Linked DNA regions of Lepisosteus oculatus. The protein of the gene in region 1 purifies or fractionates together with the protein of each later gene. This does not show direct contact. Links are inferred from orthologs where the notes say so. Each region holds a gene or a part of one and is shown in the gene's direction. Other genes may lie near its edges.

Region 1 (7,126 bases):
TAAGAGGGATATCTGAGTCTGCCATGCGTCTCGCTTTCCCTGAGCCGTCTTTTCACTGTGACCTGTTAAGAGGAACTCCGCTAGATTCCCAGATGCCTTTTCCGATTGAAGCCACTTCCCTTTGCCTGTTTTGCTTTTCTTCTTTTCCAATTAAAACATCCTGTCAAGGTGTATAAAATAACGAGCTGGGAAGAGCCACTGTGCCAGAGGGCAAGCAAACAACAAAATCAGACACGTGGACAGATTAGGAAGATGAAAGCGACAACTGTGTGAATTCAATTTTACTTTTTTCATTTTTTAAATGATTCAAAAAGCTCATGAGCTTATAGAAATTATTGTTATATAGTGATCAGGGTGCCTGCTCGTTTCAATATACCCTAGTCTTAAAAACATGCTTTCTGTGGTTTGGTTTTAGTATAAATGGTGATAAAAACGTGGTCATTCTGAAAATCCCCTCATGTACAACATCTTCCTTTCACTGGCCTGGTATATGTTTTTGCCTTCCACCGGCTCTCACCTGCGGTGTATACACAGGTATATTTATATGAGTATATATACAGTATTTAATACATCTTCAGAATCACATTCAGTTAAATACTCTCCAACACAAAATGATATAAATTCTGACACATGGTGAGCCGTGGTGTAGCTAAGTGAGCAGAGCAGCCATGTGTGATGCAGTTCGCTTCAGGCAAGCGCAGATAGTGGCTGCTGTGTGTTGTGCTCTGGTTACTGTAAGCGCAGGACCTGTTTTGGCCCGATCCTGATGTTTGTGAGTGTATTCCCAGCTCCGTGGCTTCCTGACCGAGGTACTGATTGACCAGCTGCCCAATCTGGCCGAGCTCCAGCGCTTCCTCAGCCAGCTGGCCATCACTGACCCCGCACCCCCTAAGAAGGACCTCATTCTGGAACAGGTAAAGCACCGCATTATAAGAACTAGTCCCCTACCAAGCAAGTGAGTGACTCCTTTCTGCTTGACAAGAAGGCATCACTTCACCTACTGTGTTCTTTAAATCGCGGTGATGTTTCTTCCTTGCCTGTTCTTTTTTTATTTCACCATGCCTTGATCTGTAGATCCCGGAAATGTGGAATAATATTATGAAAGAGAACTCTGGGAAGTGGAAGGCCATTGCTAAGTACCAAGTGAAGCAAGCATTCAGCCCCTCTGAAGAGGACCTGAGGCAACAGGCACACAGGTAAGGCAGAGGGGCAGGAGTGTGAGGACTTTGCAGAGGGAGAGTGCGGCCTACACAAACATGCCTCAGTTTATGCAGCAGCATATAACTGTGACCTGCCACTGAGATCTATAGGGGGTAGTGCCCTAGCAGAATAAAAGTACAATCAAAGCATTTGTCTCATGTGTAAGAAAGGGCATCAGCAGGTACTTGTGTGATAAGGCTTTCTCCTTAAACACTTGATTTGGGTCTGAAAGAAGAATGTTTAGTAACAAAGCTGTTCATTGTGGTGGTGATGGTGGTGGTGGGGAGCGGTGTTAATTGGGATAAAGGCATGTGCTCTCTTGACCAATTTACCCCCTGGCACAGCTTGCTTACTAAATATCTGGAAATATTCTGAAACACAACTACTTCCCCTTTCAGAGCCACATGTAGTATTTAATGATCAAGTCAAAATATGACACAGATGCTTACTTTATTCTCCCAGGCACTGTATTTCTTACCCCATTAAGGACATTTGTATTTATTAAGGGCTGCTTAAAAAAAGCCTTAGTACTGTATTAGTTCAGGTGGGTAGCTGCGTCAGCATGCGTAGGCTGCAAAGGAACAAGTTATAGGTTTATTCCCTGCTGAAAAAAAGAAGAAAGAGAACACAATGTTTCGGCCGTGGAGCCTTCTTCAGGTGTGAGAGAGACAGGGCAGTCACTCCCTGTCTCTCTCACACCTGAAGAAGGCTCCACGGCCGAAACGTTGTGTTCTCTTTCTTCTTTTTTTCAGCATGGAATAAACCTATAACTTGTCCCTTAGTACTGTATGATGTAAATCTGGAGGAGTGCGCAAAATCCTTGAGAAGCCACTCACCTCGAAGATGCGGCGTCTGAGGTGTGGGTAGAGAGAGATGTGTCCTTCCTCGCGTCACCTTGCCCTCTCTCTCCTGTCAGGCTGGCCCAGACCTACAGTCTGGATGTCATGGAGAACCTCATCCCTGACAAACCCAAGTGCGGCTCCTGTGGCTGTGAGGCCGCCAAGCGCTGCTCCCGGTGCCAGAGCGAGTGGTACTGCCGCAGGTGAGACGCCCCGTCGGGGGAAGGCGCAGTGGGTTCACATCCTGTAGCAGCCCGCGGGCCTAGACAATCCCAGAGTGCTGTGCAGAACGAAGAGCAGCTGCAGCGGACCCAGTGTGACGGTGTCAGCATTTAATACGAAGGCCCACAGTCATGACAAAACCCTCCGGCAGTGTGAGACTCCATTCAGTGTTTGTAAATAATTATTGGACAGTATGAAAATGGGTGGGCAGCCAACCTTATGTGGCTGTATCCCTGCTTCAAAATATTTTAGAAAGTAGGAAGAAAGAAAATTTGGCTTTTTTTCTACTGCATGGTTTTGTAACACTGAGTTTTTTTTTATTTCCTCCCCTCCCCCCCCCTTGCATGTCTGTTGCAACAAAAAACAAATGCAATTAGAATTGGCACCGGCCGAAATCTTTTAATCTGGGTCCCCTAGTATTTTCTAGACTCGCAAGGCTAACCTGTTTTGTCTGCCTGCAGGGAATGTCAGGTGAAACACTGGCCGAAACACAAGCAAGCGTGTGAGCTGATGGCCGAAGCTCTTCACAGACTCCGGGGGGACTTGGACGTCAAGCCGTAGGACTCGAGAAGAGTCAGCAGTGGGTCTAACAGGAAAGACAGCCCAGACTGAACTGAGGTTTTAAAGCACAGGGTCCCAGCAGTCTGCCTGACATGCCCTTCAATATACTGTCAATGTCAGTGCAGTGCTAAAACTAAATGAGTGGTGACGTTGGACAGCTATTGGTGTTCTGAGAAAATTCATCTATTGTTGCACTGGTTTCAGCTAAAACTCCTTTTAATAGTGTCTAAGTCACATAGCTTTGATTGCTGTACATTTATTAGTAAACTCACAGTAGCACAATAACCACAAGCTCACAAAAATAAAAACAAATGAGGGCGTTTTTGCAGCAGAGAATTGGGGCTTTACTTGTGATCCAAGGCTCCCTGCCAAAGATTAAATGCTAAACAGACACTGTGCAATTATCTACTATATCATGGTGTTCAACATATCCCTCCCTCTTTGGCTGATCAAGATGTGTTATTTGTATTCTTTCCACATGGGAACTGTCTGTTGCTTACTCGTGTCAAAGGACAGGAACATTGGCTCGCTTGTGACATACAGTACATGACATCTCTTCTAAAGATTAATACACACGTCTTCCTTGCTCAGATGTCAGCATGTAGACACATGGCAGACATACCGGTTAAGAAATGGGAGGAGAACATCCATCCAACCCATTTGTCTAAAAGATTCTCAGTGGTTTAACTGGGTAATATACCGAAGGCCATGTTTGCGCAGTGATGGAGAGGCTGTTGCACCCTCTGCCAGAAACCACTAGATGGCCAATGGCAGTAGTTTATTGTCTGTTTGCTATTTCAGATTAAAAGCTCGTCCAAGATCTTCTCTTCTTCAGAAACTCTGGCCTAGAAATACAAACTTGTCTGATTGTGTCTGCGTGCGTTGCTCTCACTGGAAGCAGAACGATGGTGTTACCTCACTCTTGCACATCTGGAAAGAACTGTTCATAGTCTCGGGAGGAGCATCAGCGATTGCAGAACCAACCAGAGGACACAAGAGCTCTACACCGAATCCCTTGGCCATGGTGTAGCATGATTGTGTATATATCTTTGTGTATGTTGTGATACTACAATGTGTACAGTTTGGTGTTTACTACACCCTAATGGAACATGATTACCTGTAAAACATCTCCCTGTAAAAAGAAACTTCTAACATTGACAAGTAATAAATAACTTTCATGCACTAGTCAGGGGAAGTTATTTAACTTTTGCATCTTCCTGAATGTTGTTCTCATTCCCTCCAAAAAAAATCTGTTTCGTTTCTGACCGCCAGTGTTTATTCCAGTATTACAGTATACGGACGGGGCGATGTCTTTCGCTATAATTTGTTGTGTGTGTTGGGTCTTTTTGCTGACACTTATTTGACACCCCTAATCGTTTATTATAGCTGGTTTCAGCGTGTAAGCGGTAAGACGTTGCAGGACTAAACCCGTTACCAGCACCAGCCCGGGAATAGTTAAAAGTACAGATCGTGTGCCCAGCGCCCACCCTCGGGTACAACCCCAGGACGAAAAGTAGGACTTGATGCTTAAGGTGGAACCTCGTGGAAAACCCTTTGAAACATCATTGCTTTTGCAGATGGCTTGCAGTCGACACCAACAACCGGGCTCTGCGCGGTCTCCGTATCTCGCACATGAAGGCTTTGAATGTTCCCCCTTCTCGCTTTTTTTTCCCTTTCGCAACACGTTGCTGAGACGGGACACCACACCTCCTCAACCCACTCTCTCTACGGAAACTTCAGCGGATTCCTTCCAGCATAACAGCGCCCGGCAGATCGCGCCTCGCCTCTCCGTGTGACCGCCGCGACAGCTGCGCCCAGCTCCGGGCTGGAGCACATGAAGACGGCTGCTTGTCTCTCCGGGCTCGTCCGTGCAAGGTTTCGACTTTTTTTTTTTCGGCTGTCCTGCACGGAGGAGAAAATAAAATCACATGAGCGCGGGCAGAAAAAGGGGGCAGAGCTTTCGGAGGGAAAAAAAAGGGTCTCTTTCGTTCGTGTAGCGTTCTTCTGCTTGCATCTACTTTTCGCGAGAGAAAAACCGTTCGTTCTCCGTGTTTCAAGACAATTACTCTCTGTCCTCCTTTCAAGCACCAGCTAGACAGTGCGTGGACAACCGAAGGACCGTATGAAGCTGCCAGACTTTCTGAAAATTCCCTGGCGGTGTTTTAAACCGAGAAGCTCGTCCTGCTACAGCGTAGCCGCTGACAAGCTGCGCCTGTGGTCGCAAACGCGTTTAAGGAGTTAACTCGCTTCGCTTGCTCTCTCTTGTTAGCTGGGGAAATGGACTGCGTTGAATAAAAATACATCTGTGGCAAACTGTGGACGACTGTTATCTTTTTTTCTTCTGCTCCATTGCGTCCTTCCAAGGTTGCCGGCGACAAACACGAACTCTTTTTTGTTTACATAATAACGGAGGATTAGTATTCCAGATCACGAAGGGCATTTTAAATTGCTGCAGCGTTTGAAACTTAACAGTTTTTGTTCCACTGTAGCCACGCCTGTGTGTCGGTGACCTAGATCGAGTCTTGCCTTGGTAAGTGGTGTGTCCCAGCTTACATCTTTACATGCATTATTTATTTTTCGAGGACGACGTGAACGCGACGTGTAATTTTTTACAAATCACGACGGTGAAATATATATATTTTTAAAAGGCTGTTGGAAGTTCGTGGGTTACCCAGCGCTTGAAAACAAGCGGGCTTAGTCTCGGGCAGGCGATGCACAGAGAGGTCTGAACTGATGCTGAAGACTTCACACTATGAAAGCGGGCACGTTGCCGGGGTTTTACTTCGGTCAGGGTTGTAGGTACAGTTGCAAATCCCCCAAAAATCACAGCTCCAGACAGAACGTTATATCCGAGCGTAAACGATTTTTTTTTTCCAGGGAGGAGCAGAAGTGCGATTCATTCCGAAAAGTAGAAGTGGTCGTTCCGCATTTTCGGGTCAGCGTGTTGTCCTGAGGAATGCCCCAGATGGGGACAGCTCCCGGAGGCATCGTGAGATAACGTCCCGCAGCTTCACCCAACTGATTCCCTCCCTCCCGAAGGGATCATTGATTTCTTTTCGCGTTTTACACCCCGCTCAGCGAGGAGAGAAAAAAAGTTTTTAAAAAAATTTATGACCCGTAGTTTAAAATAATGTGAGCGCCACAAAGTGGTTTTTTTTTTTCTCTCGTGATAAAATTCACATGAACGAAGTGTAGCTCGATCTATCAGCGCGGTGTCCCGGGGTCCTCATACCGCCCGCACGGCGGGGAGATGGGGATGTTTCAGCATCTGCGCTTGCCCTTTAAAAATCTGGGATGCGCCTGGCGGCGTTCAAAATGCGTTTCCCACGGAGGGGGCCGCTTCTGTCCGGAAGAAAATAACCGGATTGCACCCAAGCGGTTAAAATAAAATAGTCGAAGCTCTGATAACGAAAATCTCCAGAGTGCGCGGTGGCTCCGTGCATCAATAGAGGCTTTACATTCACTGTTGGAAGCTTTTTTTTTTTGAATTTGCATTTTTAAAAATGTGTGTGTTGGGGAATAAACGTCTATACGTTTTTATACTAGTGGCGAAACTGAACGGTTGTTTATTTTTGCACCAGCTTGTGAGCATGCTTGTCCTACTTGTACAGCTCGGACAGGCTCAGCCATGGGCGCCCCCCAGTGTGGGGCGTGCGTGGCCCTTGGAGGACTGTCACCCCCTCTTCTGTGCTCTCGGCTTCCCGGTGGCGTGGGCGTGGGCGTGGGCGCGGGGCGCGTGAAAGACGCGCGGATCAAGTCGGAGTTTCCCGTGAGCGGAGCGGCGCGCAGGTGGCACCGCGGGGCGCTGAGACGTCAGAGCACAGATCAGCAGGGCGAGCGCGATTAAACTTCGACCTGTTCAGCACTTGTTTTGGTTATGTCCCAGGGTAAATATTTTCTGGACTAAGTTGCAGACTCGTATTAAAAAAGAAACCAATATTGATATTTGTTTGGATGAAAAAGATGTTATGTTAAGTTTCAGCCCCATCGAAAACAATATTACAATTTCGTTTGTAATCAATTTAATGATTATAATGGCGCGTTATTATATACATAACATGAAGTGGCCTGAGAAGAACCCTTTGGGCATTTTAAAATGGGTGTAAGGGGGTATTTGCAGACTATTTCAAAGTGCAAAAATATGAAAGCGGTGCGGACCCTATTTTTATTTAATTTGTTTAATCATAACTTGAATTAATGTAGTAATATGCACCCCTGACTATCTTTTTGTCTTGAATTGTTATGTGTCCTCTCGTTTGTATTGTAATTTTTGTTATTCTGTTAAGCATAAATACGTTTTTTTT
Region 2 (7,424 bases), on another chromosome or scaffold:
GCGTGTCACGGTAGGGAAAGAAAGGAAAACGTGCCATAGAAAATAAAAACCATAGATCTAACAATCACGGTGATTTTACATACATTACAACCATAGGTTTATGTCATAGATGGTTAACTTGTTGGCATGTGTCATGTCTTAGTATTATTCATATCTAATGAGGCTCATATGTTTATGGATATTGGTTGTCTATAAAATGTTAAGGGTACGAGCTAAACTGTAACAGCGCTTGAACTCGGCAGACGGGATCACTGGAGGTCAAAGTCACCGTGCATGGTCACATGATCCCCGGAAAAACAAGGCGTTGTATCTCGGGAACGAAAACAGCACAGACGCTACTTTTAATGGCACAAACTGGCAGAAACGTAGCACTAACGAATGAGGTGGGTTTCATCGTTTGTGCTGTCTGTAGGGGGCGAACTTCACGGAGCTTTTACCGTGCCTTTAAATATTCAGTGGACTTGAGCACGACCCGTGGCTACGCCTCTGCTTTAATGTCTAAGAGGCCTGGTAGCAAAACTGGATTCATGCTGTTCCTCTGGCGGGGTTTGTCTTGTCCCGCTGAAGGAAATGTGCAGTTCAGAGCGTGATCTTTAGGGAAAACAAGAATTTGAGTCCCCATCTGTCATCCCTGCATCCTCTGTGCTCAGAGGCAAGTGCGCTCGTCTCGTTATCTGGATGTTGGCGGGTGGTGGGGAGGAAGGGGTGTAGCACAGCAGAGGGGAGGGTCTCTGTTCCCAAGCCCAAAACAATGTGCCGTGTGTCCCCTGAGTCCTTCCGCGACGGCGGTTTATCTCTGCTCTGTGTGCTCACTTCACTCAGACGTTTTGAACAGACCCGTATCAACAGCTGTTGATCTGTGTGGATCGATTCAACCTCTAGTAGCAATGTCGTACAGTTCACATAGAAACTCAAGCTTCAAGGTGCAATGGCTTGCTTTTCACCTTGTATTTGAATGCAGTATTGCTTGAAGAGGAACTGCAATGCTATTATTATGTTTAGAAAAAGTCGGCGTGGATGAGTGCATTTGTACAATGTACACAGTAACTTGTAAAAACCTCCAATTTCCAACACAAAGTAAATTAGATTTCCAGGATTGCACAGGGTCAATCCTGCAATTCAGAACAAGGCAAAAACTTCTGCTAATGTGAAGCGGTCTTATTACATTCTAAAAAAGCAGGCTTGTGAATACCTAATACATGAAAAATATTGCTCTCAACTCCGAGTCAGTTTTGCCTACGAATACTACTTACAGTACTTGTTAACTCTGCACAGAGGCCACACTGGAACATTTCTACTGTAAAATGTGTGCTGCACAACCTGTTCTTATTCACTTATACATCACACTACATTAGTCACTACAGTGACTAGCGAGCAGGAAGGGGCTGCTTCACATCACAATTCACAAGAACTCTCACTCCCGGCGGCAGCGAGACCAGCGGTTTGCGACAACAAGGTGAGCATACAGTACGTTTCTGGAATTTGTGATTAATTTGGAATTTGTCAAATTTTGCAATACCATCAATTAATTAATTTTGTTACCGGGATTTAATAAATGGTCTGAGAAATTGGGACTGCAGTTCTCCTTTAAAACAAGCTCTGGACAGCATTTATATATAATCTATGAAAAAGACAAAGATATTGGCTATTCCAAGCAAGTTAGATGAATACAGTATAATTGGGAAAATCCTAGACATGTCACAGAATGTTTTATGGATGCTGATTCAACCACTAGAGCAAATCATTAGTTCATGTTGATTTGGCGGGATGCTAAAAAGCAAAACTAAACCAATCCAAACAAAGCAAAATCAATCCACCTTCTAAATGGCTCATTTTAACTGCATAAAAGAGTCAGGTCCAGAGACAGGTAACTATTGGAAAAAGAAAAAATTACAAATGTGACTCCATGTTATTGTCCTATGTAAATAAGCCCTGCAGGTAATTAAAAGATTACTTATGATGACATTGTAAAAAGTTCTAACTTTGTGTTTTGATCATTTAGTTTACTTCACCAAATATGATGAGTGCATGCTGTGAATAGGTCAAGCTCACACATCGGAACAAATACTTAGATATACTCTATAAACTGGGGGAAGTTCATTGTATATTCAACTAAGGGCCAAAATGATTTATTTAATAAAAGAGAGGAATGTAGTACCCCATTTAAGAATCCAGTTGTGAAATTTGGATCTCATGCAAGACTGATTCATCTCTATGGTCACAGAGACAACATTTAAAACAGGATTTACCATGAATCCACAACTTAATGCTATGAGTCATTGGAAAGAAAAGAATGTTCAAAATTAACAAGCTTTTCTTTTGCCACACAACATATAATCAAACCAGATGTTCCATCTCAATGTCTGGATACAGAGCACATCTGGATAATATATAACAGAATTAGTACTAGCTTGCCAAAAATAAAATAAAATATAACTAATGTACAGTGTATTTATGTTAATGTAAAAGACTTAGTAGCTATACATATTTTGCAACAAGTCTTCATAAATTCATCATCTGAAAAAGTGGAATTTGTTTCAGCTTGGAATGAAGTCTGATTTTCCCTGGCTCTTGAAATGTAGGCATGCTACACTCTGGGCAGAGTTGCTACAGTTATGCACATTTATTATGTGTATTTTCATCATCAGCTACCACCCAAACCCACGTACACTGAGATGGCAAGTACCATTCATAAAATACAGTGGGCTCAAAACAATATTGTGAGGTAAGCCATGAGAAAAGAGTTTCTACCAGTTTTAAAAATTAAATCTATCAGACACACTGAAATATAAAAAAGGGATCATATGCATCAGGCATTGGTTGACTGTATAAAGTTTGCTACAGAAAATAATATGTTCAATAGCACCCCAGATCTTGGACACATTTCTGAAAAATACCTTGATAAATTCTTCCCTGCTTGTGTCACTGGCAAATATTTTAATCTAAAAAACAAAGAAGAATAAAAAATAGAAACACATACTTTGCCATTGATATTGGTATAATTTATGAGCATACAACATACCAGGAAATAACTGGAAGCTAGCACATATTGTGGGATCACTTGCATATTCTAAATACCTTCACCACTCCTTTTCCAGATACTATATGTCAAAATCAGCTTAATTCTTTAGCCTTAATAAATCCTACCATTTCATGTATTGAAATCACACCAGCCTGGGGTAAAAATCACCTGAAAAAGCAATGTATTATCAAGGACTGTAGCACTGTATGGTGGAAGCACTGTCACTAATTGATGCTTCAACAGCAATATCATAATTATATTGCACTAAGAAACAGAGTATTCATCAGAAGCACTTTATTTTTTATTGGTAGGTATTGATTCCTATCATATTGGTCACATGTGATCACCTGTTTTTATTGATCCACTGTGGAATGAAGTCCCCAACTCCAAGACTCTAAGAATTACACAGTTGCTACCAATTTTGAATCATCCTTCCAAAAGCTGGCTCTTTTAATACTGTTTAGTTGGGCTCCATGGGCAAAGGTCTAAGATGATAGAACCATAGAACACTATATTTAAAAGTATATATCCACCCACTTTTTAACTGCTTCTTCCAGTTCAGGGTTTCATGGGAGCTGGAATCTGTCTCAGCAAGCAGCAGGCACAAGGCAGGGTAAACACTTATATATACAGGAACAGGTAACGAGCTTATTCCATGCTGAAAAGAAAGGAAACACAACATTTCGGATGTGTGTCACCTGAAGAAGGCTCCACAGCTGAAACATTGCGTTTTCTGTTACTTATATATTTATCTTTACAGAAATCTATTGATTTCAGAGGAATAACACTAATTCCAACTGAAGTGGTAATGGAAAAAATTAATTTCCACTATGAAAGTTATAAAATGTGCTGCCATAAACACCCAATCGTTGAACAAGGAATGATGTGTGCCATTTCATCTTTTGATTTGAACTGCGTTTCTGATCTGACAATAATTTGTAGGTAAACCACAGTTTTTCACTGTGGAAGTGGCTATCCTAAGAATTATTAATATTCCGAAAGCACTGTTGTCTTTTTTACTTTATATGTGCCAAAGGACCTCCACAAGGTTCCCAATAGCAGGCTTAGCAAACCGAGTTTTGGGTACCTGTAAGAAACCAATTAGCTGTCAAGTAACGGTTGCAAATTCTCAACGAATTATTAATCAAGAAATAGTTTTAAATCAGAGGGAGCATCAGCTATGTCCTGCACGGTTCCAGCAACTCTTGACTCCGTGCTGTGGAGTTTCCATAGGAACCAGCTCCACCAGCCTCACAACGCCTCAGAGCTCAGGCAGTCCCATCACCTTAACCACAGAGCTCAGGCGAATGCGTCACCTATCCCAGAACCCTTTGCGTGTTGGAAAAAAAAACCCCTGAGAAGCAGGGAAGTTTATATGTTGAGTGGAGAGGAGTGGGAATAGGATAGGAGCAACAGGCTGAGGGGAAACCAAGTAAAAGTGGTTTTCGGGGGCAAATTATGAATATTAACTGAAATGCAACGCGATATGTTTTTTCTGGTTTGAAAAAAAACTGTTTTTTTTTTCCTCGCGGGCTCAAACTTCTCATAAGCCCGTTTAGTCTGCCGATTTGTTTTGGCACTAACAAATGGATTTACGTCGAAGCCCAGGCTGCCTCTGCCCCGAGTGAAAAATGAAAATGCCTCTTCCTCTGCTCCAGCTCCTGTGCCGCGGTCTTCTCGATTTCCTGAGGCGCACCGAAGTTGTTTCGTCGCATTGATGTCTCCCTCGCAGTTCGAGTTATGCTTTCCCGAAAGAAAAGTAAAAACGAAGCGTCGAAACCAGCCGAGGTACACGGAAAATACGTAAAAAAGGAGACGTCCCCCCTCTTGAGAAGTAAGTTGAGCTTCAAAATGGGGGGAGAATTAAATTCTCTCGTTTTCCTGCAGTCCTCAGATGCAAGTGTTTACATTGCTAAAAAAGTTATCTAACTTGCATATACCAATATGCACTGCTTATGTTATTCTTAATTCGAAATGTCCCTGCTCTTTCTACGAGTCTAACGTCTAATGTATTGAACAGCATTAGCGTTGTGCATTCCCGATGTTATAAAAGATGGGATGGGAGTGGTTGCGTTTGGATGCGAGAGCCACAGTTCACGGTTTAAAAAAAACACAAGGTCCTCACTGTGCCCTGCCGAAACTATTCAAACCCCGTCACAGTTGGCTATTTTCTCATTCACTTTATACATTCCTTTAATTTGAAGATGTGGGTACAGTGCTGCGAATAGAAACTTTTTTAACGTATTTCAGTTTATCAGATATTTTTCTCCCTTGCTAACTGCTGCCAGGATTAAAATCTTCAGATTTATTTTATTTGCTGCAATTCACAAGTCGTTAAGGGTAACTCCCCTCCCACCCCCATCTCCATTTAATTGGTCACTTTTTAGGATTTGTGGGAAAAAAATGCATTGACTTTTTTTTTTTAAATAGGCTATTCGTTTTGTTTTAAAATAATGATTTAAGGTGTCATTTTTGTTTGTATGCTTAGGGTCAGTGTTAAAGATCAAGGCTTGCTTACACTTCAGCTCCACTCTCAGGTTACATGATCTTGCTTAGTGGGTAGAACCAGCTGGGAGATGAAAGCTGTGAACATTCTTCGAGTTTTCTTTTAATGTTGTAGCATATCAAAGTCACTTTTACTCTAATGACTGTGAAGGCTACAAACACTTCACACACAGTGAGAAGCAGCATGTTACAATTTTTTACCTAGAACAACCTTTTTCCTGCATTTCAGTAAATTACCAATAACTTTTCTTTCTTACACATTGCACAGAGCAATCTAAGAATATGAAAAGGTGAGCTCACATAGCCTATTAGTCTAAAATGTCTCAATGTGTTTCTTACCTAGAGATCAGTAAAAGTTTTGACTTCCTGTAGCAGATATCTGTATTCAATGGACTGACTGAGTTCTTCTTAGAACATTTTTTATTGTTATCGAACTGTCCGTTAGCATGTTGGTGCTTCACATGTGTATTTTTTAATTACCTTCTTGGTGTTTTTGTTAAAAGTGTAAAAATGAATATTTGAAGTACATACTCAATAATAACCCTTATTATAATAATCATAAGTGGCTCTCACAAGACATGTAATGTGTCATTTCCTCAGATGTCAGATTATGTTAATGCTAGTTTCTTTACAGTCTCCCTTTAATATCTGTGAAATTATTTTTTTTTTACATTAGCTGAATGCTTTCTTTAAAAAACTACATTCGGCTTACTGAACAAGAGGAATAGTCAGGCTTAAAAAAGAAACTGTTTTCCTGGAAATTCCGCTATATTTATGTAACTGGTTTGTTGAGCCAGTGGCAGGTGATTTGTTTTGCAAAATATGCACTGTTGGCGAAAGATGAGCAAAACAATTTGACTAGGAAATTGCTTTACTCGACCAGCTGGAATTCTTACTTTGTTTGTTTGGTGTATTTTTATAAGGGCCATCATAAGTGTTTTGAGTCTGGTACTAGAGGCGGGGAAGTAAATGCATTAAATGTACAATTTGGAACTGTCCCATCGCTGATTACCATGTGTTACAGTCTTGTATGATCTGGTGTTTTAGCAAAAGTGGAACACAAAACAAGACTTGGTTGAGCTCAGTTGTTCTTCAGAAATGCGGTTTTACATCGGTGTTTGAATAAATTGTATTTTAAGAAGCATGTGTTTTTTAGAAACGCTCTCTGATGGAGACTAAAAAATAACCGGCCGGCTTTATTACCAGCTCCGAGTATGCCCTGGTTTGTGAAGTCGCTGCTGTGAGATATTGTCTCAGGGAGTTGTCCCTGTGTGTTTGTGCTTTCTCTTCGAGTCAGCTGAGCGAGTCCGGTACTGCACTTGCTTCTGAAAGAAAACCATAGGAACTGAACTGTTTGACGATCAAGCAAAAGGCCTGATGGCACTTCGTGTAGTCCAGTTTGCGGTCATGCGGTTTGTTGCCATTGACCAGCGGGGTCCCTCTCCTCTTCACTCCTCCAGATTTGATGCCCTCATTTATAAGACATGGGCCTACCATTCCCAGACGCGCCGAGATCCCTCTGCCGGAGCAGGGTCCCGCAGGGTATCCCGTGGGGCCGGGCGAGCCAGTGGTCTCCCGGAACAAGAGCTTCCTGCGCGGGCCGGTGCAGAGGCCGCCCCACGAGATTGCCAGGCGCGAGAGCAACCGCCTGTCGGCGCCGCCCTACCTTCCCCGCAGCCTGGGAGACCTTCCGCGGGAGTACGGCGGGTCCTCGCAGTCCTTCCTCACCGAGGCCACCCCGATGGCAGAGAATGGCGACGCCGGTGGCGCTGCCCGCTATTTCTATTCTCCTGACCCCTATTACGATGGCCAGCGGCGGCGACACGTGCCAGACCGGTTTCACGAGGACTATAGATACTATGAACACAATAGCGACCACTTCCAAAGAGTACTGCCA
Region 3 (8,013 bases), on another chromosome or scaffold:
AACTGCCAGATAATAAAAGTGTAAAATCTAGCATTTGTGGTTACATAGTGTTCCAGGAGAGCCTTGCAAACATATCATATCAAAAACACAATAACCTAAATCAATCAAGGGTTTTAAACTACAGTAGACGGGCCAGACCTTTCAAAGAATAAAGATAGAATGAGGAAAACAGGAGTGATAGAACCATTAGGAAACTACCATCATAACAGAAAATACTTTGAGGTATATTTAAAAAGTATAGAGGCAGAGTCATATCTCTGGAAAGAAGATATCAAAGAATGAGTCAAAGGATAAAAGAAATAGAATGTTAATGCACATTTTTCACTAAGATGTGTCTAAATCAAACCGATCTAGATCAATAATGATAATCTAAATTATCATAGATCAATATATCTTACATCTATTGCATACGATGTTATGAAGGTTAAAAATAAAACTAAACGAGGAGACAATTAGAGTTCTACTAAGTACTCAAAGCTTATGATGTAGTATTATATACATATAAATTATATTTATATGTGAACTTTCAAAAATGGCTTTGATGACATTTGGCTTAAAAGGATCATTTTTAAACTGAAGGTCATAGACATTGGCAGTAAGAAAACAGAAAAATAAGGAGTGAATACTCATATTAGGGTGATGTAATGAGTGAACCACCATGGGATCTGTGTCAGATCCACTGCTCTTCAATTTGATTTCAATTATCTAGGTTATGGTATAGTTATAGTAGTGGTAAACTAGTTTGGAGTTTGAAGTTTGGAAAATACAGTATCATAGAGTTAAAAGCATTAGAAAATAATGAAAATGAAAATTCAAGAAAATAGCTAGCAATTAAATTCAGAAAACCTTAGACAAAACTCATAAAACACCTGGCTGTTGTCATTTAATGAACGCATGGCATGTTACAGTACTTGTAGTTAACAAAAATATAAGTAATATACAAGATGGAAAACACTGGATTGAAGAAGCCAACTATTAAGACGATAAAGAAGATGTTGATTCCTTTCAAGATCGTGAAGGAAAACAATATCAATGTTAGAGTTGTTTAGAAGCCACTGACCAAAAAAAATCAGACCAACACATCTTTTACTTTACAAGTGTACTGTTTAAAGGTTGGAGAGGTGAACTACACAGAATTATATTCAAGTTGTTATGCAATCTGAAATTTGGCTTTTGGAGTAGCAGATAACACCTCTGGCAACCACAGGAATGTGTCCATGAGTTATAAAAGAGTTATAAAGGACAGCACTGTTTGCTGTCAGTATTTTAAACTTTTTAATATGTGTCAGTGTGTGGCAGATGGTCGAAAGTGCTGTATATTAATTAATCAGATACACTTAATAAGCACAAGCATTGTTATCCAGATTTTTCAGGGCTCATACAGGCAGTCGATGACCCGAAACTAATCTAAAATCTTTTAATTAAATGATTAAGAAACACTAAGGAAAGCCTTTCGATTCTTAATTTACGGAGGTTTTGTGGTCTCCTTCAGAAGCTTGGGGCCTTCCTCAAAAGGACACAAATGTGTGGGTGAAGTGCCAGGAAAAAAAATTCAGATAACTGACCAGACCCACTGGCACTCTTTGTTCTTTTATTTCACTGAATGTCCATTAGGAAATTGCATTTGTAAAACTTGGTTTCATTCTAAATGCAGCTAACTCTCTACTAAATTACTAGGAATGACAGAAGCACCCAGGACCATTAAAACTGCTTGAGACGAGCCCTCATGCTACCTCAACAGGAGTTTCTGTCAGGAACAGTTCTTTCTGGCCCCTATGCGGACGACACAATCTGGAAAGTGAAGAAACAATAGGGAAAAATATCATGCAGGAGTGGGGCAGGAGACAGGGGGGCGTGTCCAAGGTGAACAGGTGTCCAGGGGAAGTGAGTCCGGGGCGAATAATCCAAGCATAAATCCAAAAGGGAAGTCCAATACGGGAGGCAGAGTCCAAGACCAGGGGATCCAAAATAATTAAAAACCAGAACCGGGTCAGGACCGGCGGGGCAGGGGATCAGGAACAGATATTCCTGGACCCCGGGCTCTCACGAAATGGGATTCAATGAGAAGCCTCGGGCAAATGGCTGCGTCTGGCTTTAAAGGTGGAACTAAAGAGGGGCTGGAATAAGGAAGAGGTGTAAACAATGGGGGAAACGAGGAAGGGCTGGAGCACCCTTAAGAGGAGGAGTAACGATCGTGACAGTTTCTGGATAATAATAATAATAATAATAATAATAATAATAATAATAATAATAATTCCTTACACTCATTTATTGCTGGACACTCCACTGTGCTTTACAGGTAATGGGAACTCCACTCCATCACCAATGAGCAACCCCATCTGGATGATGCGACAGCAGCCATAGTGCGCCAGAATGGTCAACACACACCAGCTATCAGTGGGGAGAAGAACAGAGTGATGAAGCCAATTCATAGATTATTAGGAGGCCATTAAAGGCCAAGGATAATTTGGCTGGGATGCCGGGGTTACACCCCTACTTTTGGGATTTTTAATAACCACAGAGAGTCTGTGACTCCGGGAATATGCCAACATCACTTTACCCTCGTACTACACTTTTTTAAAAGCACAAAGTTCTCTGTCATATTAAAATACTTCATAATAAAACAGGAAAAAGGCAAAACAGACTTAAAGCTATTTTAATTTTTGTAGAAAATTATGGGGAACATGCAGCATTTTCTAAATGAACTAGCCTCTGATTGACTGTGAAAAGAAAATTACCCATTGTTGCTTTTTGTGATTATCCCATAATGAACTGTCCCAATGGGATCCTCTTTCCAATTCAGACTGAATTTATGTATCTCTTATCTCAAAGGATACATTTAGAAAAAATGTACAGTAATACTTTCCTAATCTAGCCTACCCAAAGTAATTGAATAACCCTACACACAAACGGTCTTGCCCCAATCAAGCACTAGCTGCAGGCAATCCCTGCAAACGCTCAGATCCATTAACCAATCAGGACAGCTCACGGTTACTGCACCCTCCACATCCCGACAGATTTAAACCCTCTCCTACCCTCATTTCATTGCTCAGTATTGGAAGTTCCTCAGGAACGCCTTGCCTCGCCTTTCTCTCTCGCGCATCCTCGACTTCATTTATCGTCTAGCGATTTGGCGTTGGTAGTACCGATTACTTTCCTCGTTAACATCTTTTCTGACCTATTTGCAGAACTCCGCATAGGGTCCATTAACTACAACAGTGCTGCATGCCTTACACTTCCAGCAGTGGCCTTAGCTTTCCCAGGAGGTCTACCATCACACCTGCTTACACCTGCTTAGCTTCAGTGGGTCGCCAGTTGCGAATTGCAGAGAGATATCACTGCTGACATTTTGGAACTTCATTTGTGCTTCTACGGTGTTTGCTGTTCTCTGTTTTGGTTTCATCTGCAAACCTGACTAGAGGTCTCAGTACAAATCCCTGTGGTAGTCCCCTAATTACAGGTGCATCCCCCATATTTGAGCATTCACCCCTTATCAGGCCTACTGTCTGTAATTTGAGAATTCATCTTTTATTAGGCACTTTATCAAAAGCATTCTGAAAATCCACATACATTGTATCAGACACTGTTTGCTCTGCATTTATCTGTTATTGTTGTTCTTAGTTCAAAAACCTCTAACTAGGAAAGACCTACCTTTACTAAATCCACATTGACTGTTACCTAGGAATTCTTTCTATTTACTATAGGTGAACATCTAGATTCTAGTTTTAATAATTGCTTTCATTACCTTTCATGTGACAGATGTCAGTCTTATTGGCCTACAATTACTTGGGTCAGTTTTGCCTCCCGTCTTGTAGATGGGCACTACTTGGACAATTTTTCAGTTCAGGGTCTTGAGAGACTGTTAAAGGCCTTGTGTCAATGGTTTCTGATGTCAGTATAGGGCCTGGCAATTTATTAATAAATAAGTGTTTTCTTCTTCTGCCTGAGTCATGTAGCCATGTTGTTGGTTTCTTCCCTAGTGAACACCTGAATGAAATACTCAATTAGCACATCAGCCATTTACTGTATCTTTTAATATCTATATTTACTAACAGTTTACTGGGATACATTTTACTCTCCCATCATGATTCTTTTGCTGTTGTAGTACTGAAATATTTTTTTTATTATTTATTTTAGCCTCCATTGCAAAATACCTTTCAATATCTCTCTTGGCTTTTTTAATATCCCTTTTCATCTGTACTTGCAGTTCCTTGTGCTCCATGTCTTTAACTGGATCCTGATGTTTAATTATTTTATAAAGTCCATTCCTTTCCCTTAGAGTTTTTCTGATTGATTTTTCTAACCATTCAGAATACTATTTATTAGCTTTTGTCTTACACACTCTTGGGATCTGTTTTGTGCTTCAAGGAGACTCTGTTTACATTTTTTCCATCCATTCTTCACTGATTCCATACCTGTCCTTCCCCACTTCACTTCTTATGTGATCTGCCTCATCCCTTCAAAGTCTGCTTTCCTGAAATTGTAAATATCTGATGTGGTTGTGGACTTCGTAAGTACAGTTTCAAGGTATACTCCAAAGCACACTATACTGTATCACAGTTTCCTAATGGTTCTATCACTTCAGTTTACCCCAGTCTGTCTTGATTGTCTGAAAAGAGGAGATCAGTACAAGCTTTTCCTCTTATAGGTGGTCCGACAAATTGGGTAACAATGCAGTCATTAACCATGTCTACCACTTCTGTTACAGCTGCTGTTTTTCCTCTTCATTTACAGTGTATGACAATACCACAATATGCAATCCAATATTGAAAATGATTATAAGGGAGAAAAGTAGATGTATACAGTATATTTCAGTATTTGGGGGTTGAATACCCCTTTAGTTCTCTCATGTATTTGCTTCCGGGGGGTTTGATTCGCTGCAGATGACATCAGTTCTGAAAAAAAAAAAGCACCGTGGTTGCCAATGCATTCTCTCCTCCCTGGGTCCTAAGCATGACACAACGTCTGGGGTATAAAAAGAGCGAACCACTCCTTCCAAGCTTACTCCCCGTCTGGTGGTAGCTGTTCTGTTCTCGTATTCAGGAGGACAGGGGGCTGAGGATGGCGTCGTTAGTAGAAACGGCAGACACCGAGCCTACTTGTAGTGGCAATTTGATATCTTCTCCTTCATCTTCAAGCCTTTCTCACCGGTTTCTCGACAATAAATTCTATCTCCTTGTGGTTATCGGAGAAATTGTTAGCGAGGATCACCTGAGATGTGCCATTGCAGATATAGAAAGAGGTAAGAAGGGAGTGTGTGCAATTCAATATTTCATATACTAAAAAAAAGTTAAAAAAGTAAATTATTTTATTGCGCGTTGCTAAAGACACAACAACCTAAATGGCAGATTCGCCTCAAAAAATGGTTTTTAAATTATATTTAGAGGTTATTTCTGCTTTTTAGATAATTTCAGTGTAACCTTGAACAAACCTCTGCTGTGCATCTAATAAAATTTTCAGTATATAGTTCTGTTTGGATCCGTTTGCAGTTTATGCGATTGACTTTTCTCTTAAATATCGTTATTATTTCATTGTTTATCTTTGTATTGTTAAAACTGCTGCACAGCCCCTCCCTTTCGGTAACTGTAAATCTGCGGGTGCCGCAAATCAAACAGATGGCATCAGCCTATAGTGCATTCTTTCCAGTTAGGTGATGTGCAACTACCAGCTATTATATCAAAAATGAAATTGAATAGACTTTCAAATAAATTAAAACTGCGTGAATCATCCTAGTACATGTTGCGAATGACGACTCTAACTTGATGCTGCGCATTCATGATTCAGCATTTTGTTTCTAGTATTCTGTCGCTAAGTATTTTCCGAAATTCGTGTTGAATAAGCTCTTTGTCGCATTACCTATTGGAACTACCTTTCAAGATTGCGTTATTGTTCATTTCACATTACGTTTGTTTTCTATGTGTTTTATACTCTGAGGGATTTAATTCTAAGAACTATTTTTATCATAACAGACAAACATGATTAATTTGGTCACGTTTTTCATTATTTTTCTTCTAAAATGAAATTCTGAAAATCTATTCTAATTAGAATGTAAAATATGTCCCAGGGGTATTTCAAATGCATGGGTACTGGGCATTTTAATACATTTCATAATGTAAAGCTGTACTGTAAATAATCATTCACCTTTGTTGCAGATAAACTGAGTCTGAACAGTGTTTCAGTGGTTATTGTGTTACGCATTTGTGTTTTTGAGATGCACTTAAGGTACTTGAATAATGGAACACTGTTCAATATGATGCAAAAAAATAAAAGATGAACTCTTAAGATTAGAAGGTGATTGAAACATACAGCTGCGCCTGCCTCACACGGTGAAATACTTCATCATTCATTCATCCCCTGCATTTCGGCTTGTCTCCGATACCGGCATGTGGGCGTGGTTCAGTCCGCAGTGCGGTCCCTACGGAAACTCACTGAGGACTTTCTTCCGCCACAGGGCGTTCCACAGACAGGCAGGGCATGTCTCCTTGACACCTTGACAGCGCTAGAAGCTTTAGTTTGACAGTATTCCTGAATAACAAAATGCAATTTGCGCCGTCATAAATAAAAAGAAGACAAAGAAAACACGACTGCTTTGAAAAAAAAGCAATAGAAATATAACCAGACGTACTGTGCTGGGAGTCTGGGACAGTATGCAGCTAGGTTAGATACCACTTAATGACTCACCTACTGTATAGCAAAGGGTTTACTTCTTTATTGCTCTGTGTAGGCTATGCAGTCATAGACTGCTCAAACACAGAGCATAAATTCCAGAAAGGACATTATTACTTATTTATCTGGATGACTCTTTTATTCACAGCGACCTACATTTGCATCCATAGGAGAAGTACAGTACCTCGCTCAAGAATACAACAGTAGTATCTCACTTGAGATTTGAGCCCACTACCCTTCAGTTATAATTCCACAACCCTAACCTGCAGTCTGTCTACTGCTGTTTGGCTGTAGATTCAGATGGGCTGTTGTTTAACAAAATATAAATGATTGGTAAGATGCAAGAACACTGCAGAATTGTTTTAAGAATAATTTTAATTAGATGCATACTGTAGTTTATGGTTCTTAAATTTTCTCAGATTTTTAAAATGAGAGTTTTAATAATAGAGACCCAACAAAGAAATTACTGTACATAATTAGAGACCAGTATGGTTTCCAAAAGTTAATGCTGTAAAAATGTATCCAACAACTGCAGTATATCTACAACAGTAAATTAAAGTGAAACTATTTTTCACAGCAGATTACTAAATGTCTGATTCACCTCTGATAAAAACTAAAGACTACAATTTTTTTAATTCAACTGATTACAATATATTCATTTTCCAGGATATATAAATCTATCAATATATAAATGTACCAGGAATTAATTTTTTATATGCTGGTCATAATTTAGGAAAATGAGTCATTGCAGTATACTTTTAGAAACAGATGTTTATCAGCATTTCTTTTTCAAAAATCCAGTTCAGTGAAATCTGTGATATATCAGAAAACATGGCATGTTTTAGATGAAGAAGTCTGATATTTTACTATTGCATTCCTCAACACTGTATTTAATAACAAAAGATGACTCATCCTTTCTTTGTATGCCATTGAACCTGATTAAGAAACAAACCTACATTTTAAGTGGCAGATCTAATGCAGCCTTTTGAATGAGTTGAATTAGGGCTTGAGTTAAGTTGATGGCATTCTTGACACAGTGCTGGTAACTGAATCAACAACATCTGTGGTGGCTTTCTAGTGTTTTTTTCTGAAATATTAACATTTAGGACTAATGAAAATGTCACCAAAGTACATAAAATATATTTTACATTTATATAAAAATAAGGTTGTTAATATTATATGTTCTAAAGACCTTTTCATGTACTGTATGCCCTATTGTTGATTCGGGATAACCCCCCCTAATGGCCAGAATTTGGAATTTTGAGGACATTGTCAAAACATTGTTTTGCTACTGCACAAAGAGACACTTGTTGTTATAGTCATTCTTTTCATAGTTGTTTTATGAAT

Evidence for each region.
Region 2: the proteins of rassf1 (region 1) and sav1 purify together in Homo sapiens (affinity purification with western blotting; 3 studies listed by BioGRID, with this or other methods). This does not show direct contact. The link is inferred for Lepisosteus oculatus from reciprocal best matches to the Homo sapiens genes RASSF1 and SAV1.
Region 3: the proteins of rassf1 (region 1) and map1b purify together in Homo sapiens (affinity purification with mass spectrometry; 3 studies listed by BioGRID and IntAct, counting the BioPlex papers as one, with this or other methods). This does not show direct contact. The link is inferred for Lepisosteus oculatus from reciprocal best matches to the Homo sapiens genes RASSF1 and MAP1B.

Annotation. Positions count from the first base shown.
Region 1 is NC_090699.1:64,638,053-64,645,178, reverse strand, and holds the start of rassf1 (ras association domain-containing protein 1), read left to right. Parts: upstream 1-4,099; 5' UTR 4,100-5,352; intron 5,353-6,621; exon of another isoform or gene 6,622-6,709; intron 6,710-7,126. Other genes in the region: zmynd10 (zinc finger MYND domain-containing protein 10), read left to right, coding at 789-914, 1,075-1,196, 2,117-2,242, 2,723-2,822. UniProt on the Homo sapiens protein: Potential tumor suppressor. Required for death receptor-dependent apoptosis. Mediates activation of STK3/MST2 and STK4/MST1 during Fas-induced apoptosis by preventing their dephosphorylation.
Region 2 is NC_090703.1:13,047,361-13,054,784, reverse strand, and holds the start of sav1 (protein salvador homolog 1), read left to right. Parts: upstream 1-4,347; 5' UTR 4,348-4,762; coding exon 4,763-4,856; intron 4,857-6,987; coding exon 6,988-7,424. UniProt on the Homo sapiens protein: Regulator of STK3/MST2 and STK4/MST1 in the Hippo signaling pathway which plays a pivotal role in organ size control and tumor suppression by restricting proliferation and promoting apoptosis.
Region 3 is NC_090698.1:24,228,335-24,236,347, forward strand, and holds the start of map1b (microtubule-associated protein 1B), read left to right. Parts: upstream 1-4,957; 5' UTR 4,958-5,061; coding exon 5,062-5,242; intron 5,243-8,013. UniProt on the Homo sapiens protein: Facilitates tyrosination of alpha-tubulin in neuronal microtubules. Phosphorylated MAP1B is required for proper microtubule dynamics and plays a role in the cytoskeletal changes that accompany neuronal differentiation and neurite extension.